2 linked regions of the Diceros bicornis minor genome follow. The protein of the gene in region 2 interacts with the protein of the main gene of each other region in a pairwise test. Links are inferred from orthologs where the notes say so. Each region holds a gene or a part of one and is shown on either strand. Other genes may lie near its edges.

Region 1 (7,197 bases), on a different chromosome or scaffold from region 2:
TTAATTTGCATCTCTTATCTTATCAGTAAAATTGCTAATTTGATTTCCATATGATAATTCACCAATTCTTGATCCTAGATCTGGGTTGATCTAGAGAAGATACTGTGGTAGGTAGACCTGACTCATCTGTTCACTTGACTTTTAATTACTAAAATGACTCCAGAGAGTGGGTGAAAGATGAGTAATTAGGTACCTGTTTCATCAGCCACATTCCACTGATTTTCAAGACTATTTTATTTTAGAAATCTTCCAGGGACTTTATTTTCTAACAAATATTTCTACTCTGCTTTTGTACATCTGAAATTTCTAACACATAGGGACTCGGATCCAGAACTAGGGAGCAGAGCATCCTAAGGATGGCTTCTACAAGAGCTTGCATTCTAGGGCCGTATGACTTGAGTCACCTGCAGCAGGCACATCTTGAGAAATTGGAACAGGCTCCCCTCACTGGTCACCAGTGCTGCCTTCTGCTTTCTTCCCAGTTTCTAAGGGCGAGATTTACCTATTGTCTTTGCAAAGGCATCTTGCTTGTCATCTTTGTTTCTCATTCCGTGGCCAACATAGAGAGATGAGAGTTTCCCTATTTCATGAGGCACCAGTCCATATACTAGAAAGCCTTGTCGGTGACAAGGCATCAGGGGCCTGTGTTCCTTCTAGCCCCAGTTCCACACCAGTGATCTTGGACATATCGCCTAATCTGTCTGGTATTTTGATTCTCTTCCGAAAAATGAGATTACTGGACCAGATGCTCTCTAAGCTCTCTTCCAACACTTGCCAAATCTAAAGCTCAATGAACTTAGTTTAATGACCTGGAGTATCCTAAATCTATCTGTTCACAATTTCCAAAACTATATCCTGAAACTTCGTGAGGTCACTGTTCAACATTTTCATCTTCTTCCTGTCTTGGATCTCATAGGAAGGATTTTCCTTTATTAGCAAAAGTAGCTCATGATTGCCCTTGTGGGTGAAACTGGACTACCCTTTGAATAAGGGCTAAAGTCTTCCCCCAAGCTTTCCAGTGACTGCAAAAGAACCATCCTAATGTGAATGACTGATTGCCCCTTCTTAAAAGCTTAGATATATCCTATAAAATATTTTTAGAATAAAGCTTGACTTTTAAGTAATCTCTTAGAGAGCTTAAAGAGGAGAGGACCTTTCCCAGAAACATATCTCTCTGCCCTGACCTCCCCCTCTCTACTGAGGAGTTATAGCCACTGGTTTGTATACAGGAACCAGAAGGTCTGAAGAAGGGGAGAGGCCTGGAGCCAGCTGCTCAGGGGACAAAGATCTAAAGTTGTACACGTGTGCCTTTTTCCAAAGTCAAGCAGAAATTATTTTGAATTGCGTGCAGTACTCAGCGACACTGATTTTGAACAATTAAATTCACTTCATATTTTAGGCCAGCTCAAGGAACAAAAATGACCAAAGATTCAGAATTAGCCAGGATACCTCTTGTAGTATACGTATGCCCAAGAACGAATTCAAGGCATTCCATCAACATGGTTCAGCTCTGAAGACTATCTTTGGAAACTCAATATACATGCATAAAAAGACTCACCTATTTGCTTCTCCAAAGATGATGGTATATGCCTTTGGCTGGTAGACTGGCAAAAGAGAAAAAGAAAAGATGTATAATAAATATGAAGTTCTTAAAGCAAAGAAGGCAGAATTGTCAAATAAACCAAGCCCTGGAAAGGGAATCTAAGTACCTCAGAATCTCTCCTACCTTAGACTTTGGCCAAGCAATTGTGCCTCACCCTGCCTCAGTTTTGTGACTTGGAATAGTTCTGATATTTTTAGGTATTTTCAAGGAAATCTAGTTTGGCCATTTGAACACATTCACTTCTAAGCGAGACTCAAAACTTCCTTGTCTCCTCAATCACTAAGCCTGAGGTAGGCAGTGGCTCAGCGGGCTGACGTGCCAAGTGAGAAAGGGAGAACTGTAAGTGCCAGTCCTATTTTGGCCCTTATTCTTTACCAGATAGAAAATACTCTTTTCACTCATTTGAGCCTCCATTTCTCTGCCTATAGAATAGAATGACTGGGATGATCCATTTCTAAGAAAAAAGGATCAAAAGTACTTTGCAAGCAAGACCGTGGTCCCGGTGGACCATGGTAGCCCTACACCCTCCCCTGCAGCAGAGCTGTCTCCCGCCCGTGCCTCCAGGGCACAGCAGTCCCCACGCCCATGCTGGCTCACCTCTCGGAGTTCGGCCAGCTCCTTCTGTAGGTGGAAGAGCTGAAACATCCCCAGCCCCAGTCCAACCAGGGCCACTAGAACCATGAAAAACATCACGAGGAGACACAGGCCCGTGTTGTGGTCCCTCCTCTTCTTCGGAGGTGGCCGTGGTAGTGGAGGCAGTGGTGGCCGTGGTGGTGGCGGTGGTGGTAGTGTTGTTGGGGGCGGTGGTGGTGGTCTCCTTTGCCCTGGCCTTCCTGGCACAGAGGATGGGCAGGGGAGTACTGACCCTGGAGAGGCCCAGGGAGAGCTGGCACTGCTGTCCACCCAGTAGATTTGGGGGTACGAGTAATTCAGGTGCTGCTGCATGGCAGCCAGTGACTCAGGCCAGCCCCCAGCAAAGGATTTTCCTTCTTCTCAATCCTGTGGAGGCCCAGGTGGCTAGGAGTTGCCGACTGTTGGAGAGAAGAGAAGCAGGTTCTCTCTTTATAGAGTTTCCATAGCCAAGGGAAACACCTCTCTCTCGTTCTCTCTCTTTCTCTCTTTTTGCTTCTCAGAGAGACACCCACTCACTCTGCATCTGAAGCTGAGAAGCCTCAAGAAGCTCAGAGTGAACCTCGGGAAGTTTCCGCCCACAATTTTCTGATGAAAGCCTTCAAAGTGCCCTGCTACCTGAAAGGCTGGTAGGGTAGGCTCGTCTTTCTCAGGCCCTGCGAGAGCAGGTAGCACTGGGTGCAGCCCTGTGGGCTTTGACCACTGCCCAGCCACAGGGACAGTGACCAGAGGGGGCGTGTTCAGGCACTGAGGGGCGAGACCATGGAGTTGTGGCCAGAGGAGTCGCGTCCACGTCTTACCTTTTGCATGAGGGAATCATCCCCTGCTGCCACCCCTTCCCCACGCCGAAGTGCTCTTCACCCTGACATTGCACAGCACTGTAATTTACAGGTTAAAAACCTGCCCCACCCACTCTCTAGAGATTAGATCAGAGGTTACAAGCCAGTGGCCCGTATGCCTTGTGGAACCCACAGACCTGCTTTGTTTGTGCCTCACGATGTTTTTTCTTTTCATTGGTTGTCCCTTTTTAAAATTGGCATATTCCAAATAAAGATATATATACTTCTATTCTGTTTTGAAACATTAGAATGTTGGACATCTCAAGGCCATCTCTGCAAACCCCGTCAGCTGGAGCTGGGCAGCAGCTGCCCCATGGATGAGACATAGGTGCTGCAGGTTGCCCAGCCTGCATCACCCTCCACTGGTCCACACACCATCGGCCACATGAAGTGGCCTTCCCGGTCCCTCTGGGCATTTCTGTTTGCAGCCTCTGTTACGGTTGTTGGATGAAATACATGGTGCCTAGTTAAATTTGAATTTCAGATAACCATTAAATAATTTTTAGGATAACTATGCGCTAAACATTAAATGGAATATACCAAAAAAGTCTTCGTTGTTTATCTGAAGTTCAAATTTAACTGTTTGTCCTATTTGTTTGTTTGCTTTTTACTAAAGATGGCAACTCTACTTGGACTGACGTCATCCTTTTCTCTGACTTCAAATACCATTTATATGCCAATAACTTCCTAGAGCTCAGCTCCAGTCCCAAGCATTCTCCCATACAAACCGTATAAACCTCCCATAAATCTCTATTTTCCGCTTTATTGGAGGACTCTACTTTTCGAATTCCATTAGTTTCTATTCCATGCTTTGGCATTACTGCGGCTATCATCCCGGCTCTCCACTGGACCAAACATCAAACTTCTTTTCCTGCCACATTCTGCCCACCCCGCACCCATCTGCCCACCCCACTCCATTCCCACTCCCAATGTAACCTTAGCACGACACACAGGCTCTTTACAGCCAGACCCCAACAGCGAGCTCTGTCTCCTCTCCAGGCACTTCTGCCCACATCCCCCTCTCCATTCACGAGACAGTGTGACAGATGAGACCAGAATGACTGCACAAGGTTCTTACTGTCTTTTAGAGGTGGGCAGGTTTAATGTGCTTTTGAACTCATGTACGGTTTTATTCATAGTTATGAAAAATGGTAAGTTTAAAGTTCATAAGTTGGAGGCCGGCCCAGCGGTATAATGGTTAAGTTGGGACGCTCCGCTTCTGGCAGCCTGGGGTTCACAGGTTCGGATCCTGAGCGCAGACCTGCTCTCTGCTCATCAAGCCATGCTGAGGTGGCATCCCACATAGAAGAACTAGAACAACCTACAACTAGGATATACAACTATGTACTGGGGCTTTGGGAAGGAAAAAAATAAAAAGAGGAAGATTGGCAACAGATGTTAGCTCAGGGCCAATCTTTCTCAAAAAAAGAAAGAAAAGAGAAGAAAAACCCTTAAAATATCCTGAAAATACTCTAACAAAAATTATATAGAATCATATTTTTAAAATTATAAAAATTTTACTGAAAATAGCAAAGATTCAAATAAGTGGAAAAATACCCCACATCCTGGATGGGGAGGATGGAAAGTGTTGAGCGATGGTTAGGGGTATTAGATGGTTCTGGAGTTAAACTGCCTGCGGTCAAGTCCCAGTTCTTCCACTTGTTAGCTCTGTGACCTGGACAGGCCACTTTCTCTCCTCTGTGCCACAGTTTTCTCCTCTATAAAAATGGGCATGATCATAATAGTATCTATTTCAGACAGCCCTGTGAGGATTAAATGACTCAAAGCATTTGATACGCTTAAAATAGACTCTAGCATCAAAGCAAGCACTCAACAAACTTTATTGTTGTTGTCGTAAATGTAGTGAATCTTCCCACATATAATTCATCTCTAGACCAAATGTAATTGACCTTCTTCCATTAAGGCTACAACAAGGTGGAGAGCGGGAGAGAGGTTTCTGGGGAAAGTACAAAATTGATGCCTGACACCCAGCATCCTCAGAGATTCTAGCAGTGAACTGATGGACTGAAGGGCCCTCTGTTTCAGGCTAAGACCTCCCTGCTTTTCTGTCTCAAACTGCCACAGAATCTTTCAGCATTTTTTAATAAGAATTATTCTGTATTTTCACGTCTCTCTCTCTGCCCTGCTTCTTCTCTTGATTCATTCTGTGATAGGAGGAATCAGAATCTTAATACCTGCCCCCAGCCCACCCAGGACCCTCCAATCACAGGGAGAGTCTGAACTGGAATAGAGACAAAGAGAGCCACCTTTAAACACTGGAATCGCTCTGTGATGATGCCACCAAACATCACAAGTTGGCAAGATCATGGAAAAATAACCACCACTGCAGACAATAACAGGGACCTATCACAATTTGGGGTACTACCAGCACCTTGTTAATTAGCAGAAATAATCTTTTCAAAGTGTCTCTTAGAAGCTCTGTGATTGCTGAAGAAAAAAATATATATATTCGCCTTCGAGAGATGCACTGAACAGATAAACTAAAGAGCCAGCGGGCTGGCAGCTTCCACACATGGAAAACCCAAGTTGAAGAGCTTCGGTCATCTTCACCGTATCCCCCTTACTTGAGCCTGCATCTCTGGTTCTGCAACCAGGTTCCTTGAGGATGGACAGCAGAGAGAGAGTCAGAGCTGGCGATTTCTTTCAGGAGGAGGGATAGGATTGCCAGTCACAGAGATTTAAAGATAATGGGTGAGACTTGGGAGCACATTTAAGTGCAGGACCAAATCAGAGAAACTTCCTTGTGCAAGTTGTTAGAATTTTTAAAGTATCTTTCATCTATTTCATTAGATGAAATTTTAAATTGTCTTTAATTATGGTCCCTCTAGCATTGTAATTCCCTTCAGAAATTGTCCTGACCCTTTAGTAAAAGGATTCAAGTGTGCTTCCCCAGTTTAGTGTGTTAGTCTTGTGGAATTTAAAAGGACAGAGTGGTAAGGAAAAGGGCCACCTATTTCTTCCCACCCATCCAGTGTCTTAGCAGGGAAGTTAACTCAGTGGGCCGGAGCCCAGAGCTCTAGCCGTGACTGGGCAGGAGCGTAGAATGGTGCATGATGAAAATAGCAGCTGATCATCCCCAGAGGTGAGCAAAGGCCCCAGTGCACTCTTAACTGGAGTCTGTTCACAAACATGTACCCTACACATTTAATGTCACTAAGTACCTCCAGGCTGCTCGTCACAGTGGCTGAATCTATTGACACCAACACCAACATGACTATCTTATCCCATGTCTTCATCTCTACTTGGTATTATTCATCTTTCTAATTTTTACCAAGCATTAGGGTTATAAAGTTGTATCTCGTCTATTAGTTTTCCTTTTTCTGATTTCTTTTGAGGTTGAATATCTCGTCATATACTTGTTAGACCTTCACATTTTCCCTTTTGTGTATATTTCCTGTTCATACACCATGTCCATCTTTTAACTGGGTTTCTTATTTCTCTTGGGCTGATTCCCAGGGTTTCCTCGTACCTTATATCCTAGATATTAATCCATTGTTGCTTTTAGACATTGCAAGTAAATTCTCCCACACCACCACAAATTTCATATTTAGGCTTTAATCTGTCTGGAGTTCGCGTTTGTGTGTGATGTGAAATAAGTCCATCTTTGTTTTTCTCCACATATGAACCAGTTTTCCCAACACGAGCCATCTTTTCCCCCACTGAATTACAGCAGTATATTTATCATATATCAAGTTTACATATTCTTTCTTAGATAAATTGCTTGATACTTTGTAATTTTGTTATGCTTATAAGTAGTGCCTTATTTTCTGTGGTATTTTTAGATGAGTAGTCTATAAGATGACCTAATGATCCCCTATCTCCTGGTATTCATGCCCTTTATAATGGCCTTCTCTTGAGTGTGGGCTAGACTTATTGACTCACTTCTAACGAATAGAATATAGCAGAAGTGATGAGATAGTGCTTCTAAGACTAACTTATAAAAAGACTGTGGTTTGCATATTGCAGATAGCACTTCTCATTGTATCCTCATATGATGGAACCAGAGAGAGGAAGCAAGCTCTCTCATGACTCTCATAAGAGCACTAATCCCATTCATAAGGGCTCCACCTTTATGACTGCATCTAATCCTAATTTCTTCCCAAA
Region 2 (8,002 bases):
TCTTAATTTATTCCAACTGCCAGAAACACAACTCAGATCCAACTGTTCTTTTATAAACTAATGAGTTTTGTATTATCATATCTGTCTCACGGCTAAAATTTTAAAAGTGTCTGTCTGTATGCTTATATATGTTTATATATGAATGTTATAGATGTGTGATTTTTCTACCTCCAGATGGTATTGACAAAATTAATTTGTAAAAGAGCTCTATTTAACTGGCTTAAAGAAAACTAAGCACTTATATAAATTAAATATTCTCTCATGAATATAGAAATTAACCCAAATGTTCTTCAAGTTTGTGTGATCTGGGATAATCTTTGCTGAATAAAAGCTAGTCTAAGTTTGTTGGTTTAATTAAAACAGGCATGTCTTCAGAGTTATCAACATTAAATTTAATGCAGACCTATAACTTTAATTCTACCCAGGTTTACTAGTCATATAATCTCATGTTATGGCTATTACACAGCATTTCAGGAAGAAAAATAATTTGAAATGATGGTTAGCTCTTTAATGTCTTGTGAAATTTTCATAAATAATCTAAACATAATTTTTAAGAACAAGTGAATTGAATAGATATAAGTAAAAGTTTATAAATGAACTTTTCAACAATAATTATGTTTTATGTATCTCTACTTAAAAATTGTGTCAAGAGTCTTAAATGTGTGTTCATAGCCATCAGATGGTCTCACTGAGCTCAGAGAAACAGAACAAGGTGAACAACGAGATGAACAGAAGAAACCTTCCACAAACCTGACATCATGACCTGTGAGTTTCACAGTGAGACAAGAACAACGTAACCCTGATGGTGACTGAGAGTGGCACTAGTGCCAAATTTTTGGTCAATCGCTCATGTGTGAGAGGATGGCCAAATGGGGAAATTGTTAAAGTCATTAAGGAGGCCATTAAACTGAGATGGCTCTAATGCCTTGGTCGCCTATGTAACCCAGGGTCAATTCCTGAAATGCACTTATATCCTAGAAAATGAAACTAAAACAATCACAAACAGCCAACTAACCTTTCCCAAATTAGGTAACTGCTTAAGCTATAGCCAATCAAATAATTTCCTTGCTTTGCTTCCACATCAGCTCTATAAAAGCTTTTTCCTGAGCTCCTGTTAATGGAGCACTTTCAGTTTGGTGCTGTCCAATTCAAATTGATGTTTGCTCAAATAAACTCTTGAAATTTTTAATGTGCCTCAGTTTATCTTTTAACACTATGATCTGAATGTTTGTGTTGCTCTCAAAATACATGTATTGAAGCCCTAAACCCAAGTGTGATGGTAGTTGGAAATTGGGCCTTTAGAAGGTAATTAGGGTTAGATGAGGTCATGAGGGTGGGCCCTCAGGATTAGTGCCCTTGTAAGAAGAGACACCAGAGAGGGAGCCCTCTCTCTCAACATGCACAAGCACTGAGGAAAAGCCATGCAAGAATACAGCAAGAAGGTGGCTGTCTGCAAGCCGGGAAGAGAGCTCTCACCAGAACCTGACCATGCTGGCACCCCGTCCTCAGACTGTTAGCCTCCAGGACTGTGAGAAAATAAATTTCTGTTGGTTAACCCACACAGTCTATGGTATTTTGTTACGGCAGCCCGAGCAGACTATTACACAATATAAATGAAGCCACTTAATCACACCACCAGAACAAAGTATGAATAAACATCATTGACAACAGAGAGAGACTAAAACTCCTGTGAACAGGTACAAAATGCGAGAGCAAGCATACTTAATCCCTCTCTTTCTCATTCAGTTGGAGACACATTTATTGAGTATCCGAAGTTTGACAGTCTCTCCAATTTTCTTTGAGGTTTCTTTGGAGTTGTTCAGAGTCAAGTTGAGGAGCACAGATATAGTCAGATAATTTCAGCAAGCGCAGTAGCAGGGATGCATCTAGAACTACTCTGTGCACCTGGAAGAGGAAGCTGATACTGCTGCTCACTGAGAGAAGGGGGAGGTCAGGGGGCTCCATTTAAGGACTGACACTTGCACTAGTCCTAAGCAAGGCAGGCACATTAGGAAACAGGCAAAGGGCATTCCAGGCAAAAGGGAGAAAGATTGATTCTTAGATTCTGAATGAGTCCCTTTCCTTCTTTCTACTCTTAACCCACTTGAAAATGTTGTCATTTTTAACATGAAATAGTTTACTTCATGAGAAGTAAAATGCAGAGCATGTTTCTCTGCATAACCAAGCAAAGCTGGTGATCAGGTCTGCTCTGCACATCATCTTGCCTGTACCTCCCCAGCCGCAGACCTGTCATTATGCGGCAGGTCTCATCAGGTTCCAGAAAGAACTCCTCTTTTCAGAGGGGTGTGGAACAAAATCAGGAACAAGGCAGTGAGCAGAACGGGCTGCTACACCGGTCAGCTGGGATGGCTTTCTTCAAGCATCATGGTGTTACCAGATATCTATCTGGAACTAGGGAGAAGAGAAGAGGCAGGTGGTCCCTGCTGCTGTTTCCCTTACCTGATCTCTTCAACACGTCTATCGGTGACCTCAGCTGGCATAATTACATGTTATAGCATATGCAAGGTATCCTCTGAGCTGTTTCGTAATTTCTTCATAATTGAGCTCCAGATTTACTACTTACAAATGACATAAGGGAAATAAGATAAAACTGTATTGACAGGAGAAAAATAATAGTAATAATTAATGTATTCATCAAATTAAGTCAATAGCCCATATCTTTAACAATTTTTTCACTAGAATAGGGTCATATTATATGTTTGGAGAAAATATACCACCTAGAAGTGATCAGAGGTGGAAAAATTATGAAATTTCAAAGGAATTTCTTAAGTTTGAAATATATGAAATGTTACAAACATCATCATTTCCAATATTTTCTTCCCAACTGTGAATTGAACTTACATTTGCCCATAGAAATAGAGGAGTTCTAGTCAAAGGAAATCCTATTCTAAAAAGATGATTTATCATGAAAAACATACTGCCTCCTAGTGAAGATTATGCTACCAGCCTACCTTCAGTTGTACAAGGACTTTAAGAAGCTTTTGCAGCTCATTGAATAAATTATTAGTTTAATGAAAGAACAGTTTTTCCATTCTCTTTCATACAATAGGCTTTTGCAAGAAACTGACCTACTTTGGCCTAACAGTAACTCTAAGTATTGACACCATGATGCTTTTACAAAGTACTCTAACCAACTATCCTAACAGCTTCTGACTGCACTGGTATTGCCAAAGCAGGTCTAACAGCAATCACACAAGATTTCACTCACGCACTGTACCAGTGCCCTAAGTTCTTATGGCAACCAAGCTTCAGGATTTTCCAGGTAAGTTCATTGTATTACACTGCACCATTGGTGCCATAAGGACAATCTCCCACAATCTGAAAATTTAAAAATATGGCCACTGTAGTAGACAGCTTCTAAAATGGCTCTTAATGATCCCCACCTGCCAATAATTCATGCCCTTACCAAATCCTCTCTCCTTGAATGTGGGCTAGACCTACTGACTTTCTTCTAAGGAACAGAATACGGCAAAAGGGATGTCACTTCCGAGATCAGGTTACAAAAGACTGTGACTTCTGTCTTGCTTGCATTCTCTCAGGTTCTCTCACTTGTTCACTGTGATGAAGCAGGCTGCCAAGTTGTGAGCTGCTCCAAGGAGAGGCCAACATGGCAGGAGCTGAGGGCTGCCTCCAGTCAACAACCAGCAAGGAATTGACATCCTTAGTCCAATAGCTTTTCAATCCTGGCAACAACTATGTAAGTGAGCCTTGAGTGAGTTCGACTTTTGTCGACTCAAGTGTCAACTTTTGTGGACTTTTGTGCCTGGCTTCTCTCACTTAGCATAGAGTTTTCAAGGTTCATCCATGTGGTAGCATATGTCAGAATTTCATTCCATTTTATTGCTGAATAGTATTCCATTGGATGGACATACCTCCCTTTGTCTATCTATTCACCGTTTGATGGGAATGTGGGTTTTTTCCAATTATTGGACATTTGTGTGCAAGTCTTTTTGTGCTCACGTGTTTCACTTCTCTTGCTTTGGTAGATATCTAAGAGGGAATTGCTGGATCATGTGGTAACTCTATGTTAAACATTCTAAGGAACTGCCAAACTGTTTTCCAAACTGGTTGCCACATTTTACATTCCCACCAGCTTTGTATGAGAGTCCCAATTTCTCCACATACTCACTAACACATGTTATTGACTGTCTTTTTGAGTAAAGCCAACCTACCAGGTGTGAAGTGGTATCCCATTGTGATTTTGACTTGCCTTTCCCTAATGGCTAACAATGTTGAGCATCTTTCCAGGGGTTTATTGGCCATTTGTATATCTCCTTTGGAGAAATACCTATTTAGACACCTCACTCATTTTTAGTTGGGTTTTTTTCATTTTCAGTTGTAAGAGCTCTTCATATATTCCGGGTACAAGTCATTTATTACGTGCATAAGATTTGTAATATTTTCTCATAAGAAAATCACTTTAATTCACTCTACGTGGCATAAATAGAAAGTGTAATAATTCTTGGGCTTAAGTTTGGGTACGAGTTTAGCATACGTTTATAGCTATGAAGCTGACTGTTATTAAAGTGACCTCTTAAGAAACCTAGACAGATTAGGGGGACCATCTGCCTCTTGATTGCATAGCCCAAGATTGTCAAGCACTATTCCCTATCACACAACTAGTAATACAGAATTTTGCAGAACAATCTATTTCCTTTATCATTATAGACTAGACAATACATCATTTCTTTCAGTTTTGATTTAGGATTAGAATTAGGAATACATTTCTACCTGTAGAGGGCAGTCATAATACACCCAGACAATCAGAATAGGAGGCTCTACCTGGAATAGAACACTAAGGATCTGCGGATAAGCTGCTGATCCAGAAAATAGATAATTCTTTTGCTTCCATTGGTGTAACTTTCCAGGGAGGCCCTCAGCAGACTGAGAGATGGCCCAGCATCAGCCAAAAGAAGAGAAATAGAGTGGACCCGGAGCCAGTGTTAAAATCAGGCCACAGGACTTATTCGGAGCCCTTATTATGCCCCAGCTTTCCCAAGAGAACCAAGAGTGCCTCCAGAAACATTTCTCCAGGCCATCTATGTGGAAGCAATTTCTGCCCCTGCCTCAGGCTGAGGGATATAATGCAAACATTCAGCAAGCCATGGAAAATGAAGGTGGGACCAAGGCTGGGCATGATGTCCAGGTAAGACAATCTCCACAATCCATGATCCTTTCTTGACAAGGAAAGGGCTTATGCAGAACGAATATAAACCATAAGCAAGCTTTAGTGCCATTGCTCACTTTATCTCAGTGACGATATCTCAAAAATGTTTTCAAACCAACGCCAAGAGAAAAACTAGAACCTTGATGATAATTACCTGATCTGTCTAGCTTTCTCCAACCTATAAAGCTTCTCTTTACCAATACAAATGACTATTGAATTATTTTTGTTTGTTTCAGGGGGTAGTGTTTTAAAAAGCAGACGACCTAGACATAGATTTTTGTGGCAATTGCTAGTAACCGTTGAATGTTTTTCTCTGATATAAAGATTATATCCCATATAATAATGAAAGAAAAATTATAGACTGCTTTTTATAAAAATTGGTAGAGAAAAAAATTGATAAATGAATACAGAAACATAAGAACATTGAGCTCAAGGGGTGTTTTTCCTAAATTCATGGTTTCCTAAGGTAGATTTCCTAAGCATGAATTTCCACCGCTAGATAATATTATTTTCCCAAAGAGTGACAATTTTCCTGCTCAGTGTTGTGTGTATCTTTGCAGAAAGTACAGTTTAAGTCTGTAAATCCTCTTAACTATTAATAGAACCATCTCTTAAAGGTTATTTGGTGTGGAGGGGGACAGGCATGTGTTAATGTCTAACAAATAATGAGCAGAGCTTAGAATTAAATGCTGCAAAATCATACTACAGCAAACCCATCCAACTGCTGAAACACTAGAAAATTCATCTGTCCCTGTGCCACAGCTCATATCCTGATAATAATCATCATTTATTTGGAGACTTTCTATTTAATTCTCTGGATCTGCCCCTTTCCTGATGTTATTTTAATCAATTGGCATAGGAGAAAAAAAGTTTTAAAAAAAGTCATTAGGAAGCTTTTTCTGTAGAAATGTATTCACCTTTGTTTCTAAGCTTTCAGAGATCTGTGAACAAATAATACATGAATTTCCACACTCCCTATTATCACCTAAGCACTAGGTCTTTAGGAAACTAGAATGAAATGGGATATCGTGGCCAGAAGTCCTTAATTAATGGGAATCTAAATCTAGGCGACACGTGCAAAAGAGATTTCTAGAAGGTAGAGTTTGGAGGCTCCTCTGAGGAAACAGACAGCAACAACAATATACATATGTTGTGTGTGTGTGTAAATATGTATAATATATGGACACACACGTATAATTTCAAAGTCAAACTGTCTTGAGGGTATGCTTTAAGCAGAACCATAGGCAAATGAATTGGAAAGGTATTTAAGAATCAGCAGTACCTTTCCATAGCGTCCTGGAATCAACTGCACTGCGGGCGCCAGGCGATCCAAGCTGCCATCCTGACCTCATTAACCCAAGTACACCAGCTCCAGCCTGTGCAGCAGCGGGCGTGGGCAGTCAGGAGAGATCCAGCTGGGATGCTACTGGCCTCTCCACTCAGTTTTGCCTTTTTAAAAAATCTTCCTATATTGCATCTGAATATAGATGCACATGTCCCTCTTATAGCAAGTATATGAATGGCAGAACTCAGTTCATTTTAATTCTACAAATGTCCTTGAGTCCTTGCTATCCCCAAAGCCTTGAGCTAGATTTTGAGAAAGAGAAAGATATGCTCCTCTCTCTCTACAGACTCACGATATATTGGGAAAGACAAACATATCAACATATTATCATCATATCATATTATCATATTATTGGCATGACTCATGTCAATGTAATTCAATCAGTAAGGCAGTAAGAAACTAGGGATGGAATATAATCAATATGAAGTAAAACAACTGAAAAAGGCCTAATGAAAATGTGAAAGAGGTGAAATTTAAGGTAGACATGAAATAGGAATGGAGGAATGTAGAGAAGTAGACAGGGAGAACATGGGCTAAAATGTGTCTAGACATCCAAGGCCCGTGTTACAACCCTCCAAGATCCTCACAACCTAAGCCTAACACCACATAAAATATTAAACCAAAATGGATCATGGCCTTAAATGTACAACAATATGTAGAACTATAAAACTGCTAGAAAAAAATGATAGAAAATCTTTGCGACGTAAGTCAAGGCAGAGTTCTCAAACATCAAAAGCATAATCCCTAAAGGAAAAATTGATAAATTGGGCCTCATCAAAAATAAAAACTTTTGCTCTGCCAAAGACCCTATTTAAGAGGATAAAAAGACAAGATACAGACTTTGAAAAAACACTTGCAAACCCCATATCTGACAAAGGCTTTGTATCTAGAATATATAAAGAACTCTCAAAAGTCAAGAGTAAAAAGCCAAACAATCCAAATAAAAATATGGGCAAAAGACATGAACAGACATTTCATCACAGAGCACATACAGCTGGCAAACAAACACATGAAAAGATAGTCAACATCGTTAGCCATTAGGGAAATGCAAATTAAAACCACGATGAAATATCACTACACACCTATCAGAATGGCTAAAGTGAAAAACAGTGACAAAACAAAATGGTGACAAGGATGTAGAGAAACTAGATCACTCATACATTGCTGGTAGGAATGCAAAATGGTACAGCCAGTCTGGAAACAATTTGGCAGTTTCTTATAAAACTAAACATGCAACTATCATATGGCCCAGCAATTTCACTATTGGGCATTTATCCCAGAGAAATGAAAACCTATGTTCACGCACACTGCATATGGTAATGTTCATAGCAGCTTTATTCATAACAGCCAAAAACTAGAACCAACCCAGGGCCGGCCCCGTGGCTTAGCGGTTAAGTGCGTGCGCTCCGATGCAGGCTGCCCGGGTTCGGATCCCGGGCGCGCACAGACGCACTGCTTCTCCGGCCATC

The links. The genes of interacting proteins can lie anywhere in the genome.
Region 1: the proteins of RGS20 (region 2) and FASLG interact in binary tests that used the Homo sapiens proteins (3 or more experiments, as listed by UniProt). The two-hybrid records come from large-scale screens. The link is inferred for Diceros bicornis minor from reciprocal best matches to the Homo sapiens genes RGS20 and FASLG.

Annotation. Positions count from the first base shown.
Region 1 is NC_080743.1:93,508,409-93,515,605, forward strand, and holds the start of FASLG (tumor necrosis factor ligand superfamily member 6), read right to left. Parts: upstream 3,085-7,197; 5' UTR 3,034-3,084; intron 2,635-3,033; 5' UTR 2,549-2,634; coding exon 2,201-2,548; intron 1,605-2,200; coding exon 1,559-1,604; intron 1-1,558. UniProt on the Homo sapiens protein: Cytokine that binds to TNFRSF6/FAS, a receptor that transduces the apoptotic signal into cells. Involved in cytotoxic T-cell-mediated apoptosis, natural killer cell-mediated apoptosis and in T-cell development.
Region 2 is NC_080772.1:7,745,070-7,753,071, forward strand, and holds the start of RGS20 (regulator of G-protein signaling 20), read left to right. Parts: upstream 1-5,002; coding exon 5,003-5,161; coding exon of another isoform or gene 5,162-5,167; intron 5,168-8,002. UniProt on the Homo sapiens protein: Inhibits signal transduction by increasing the GTPase activity of G protein alpha subunits thereby driving them into their inactive GDP-bound form.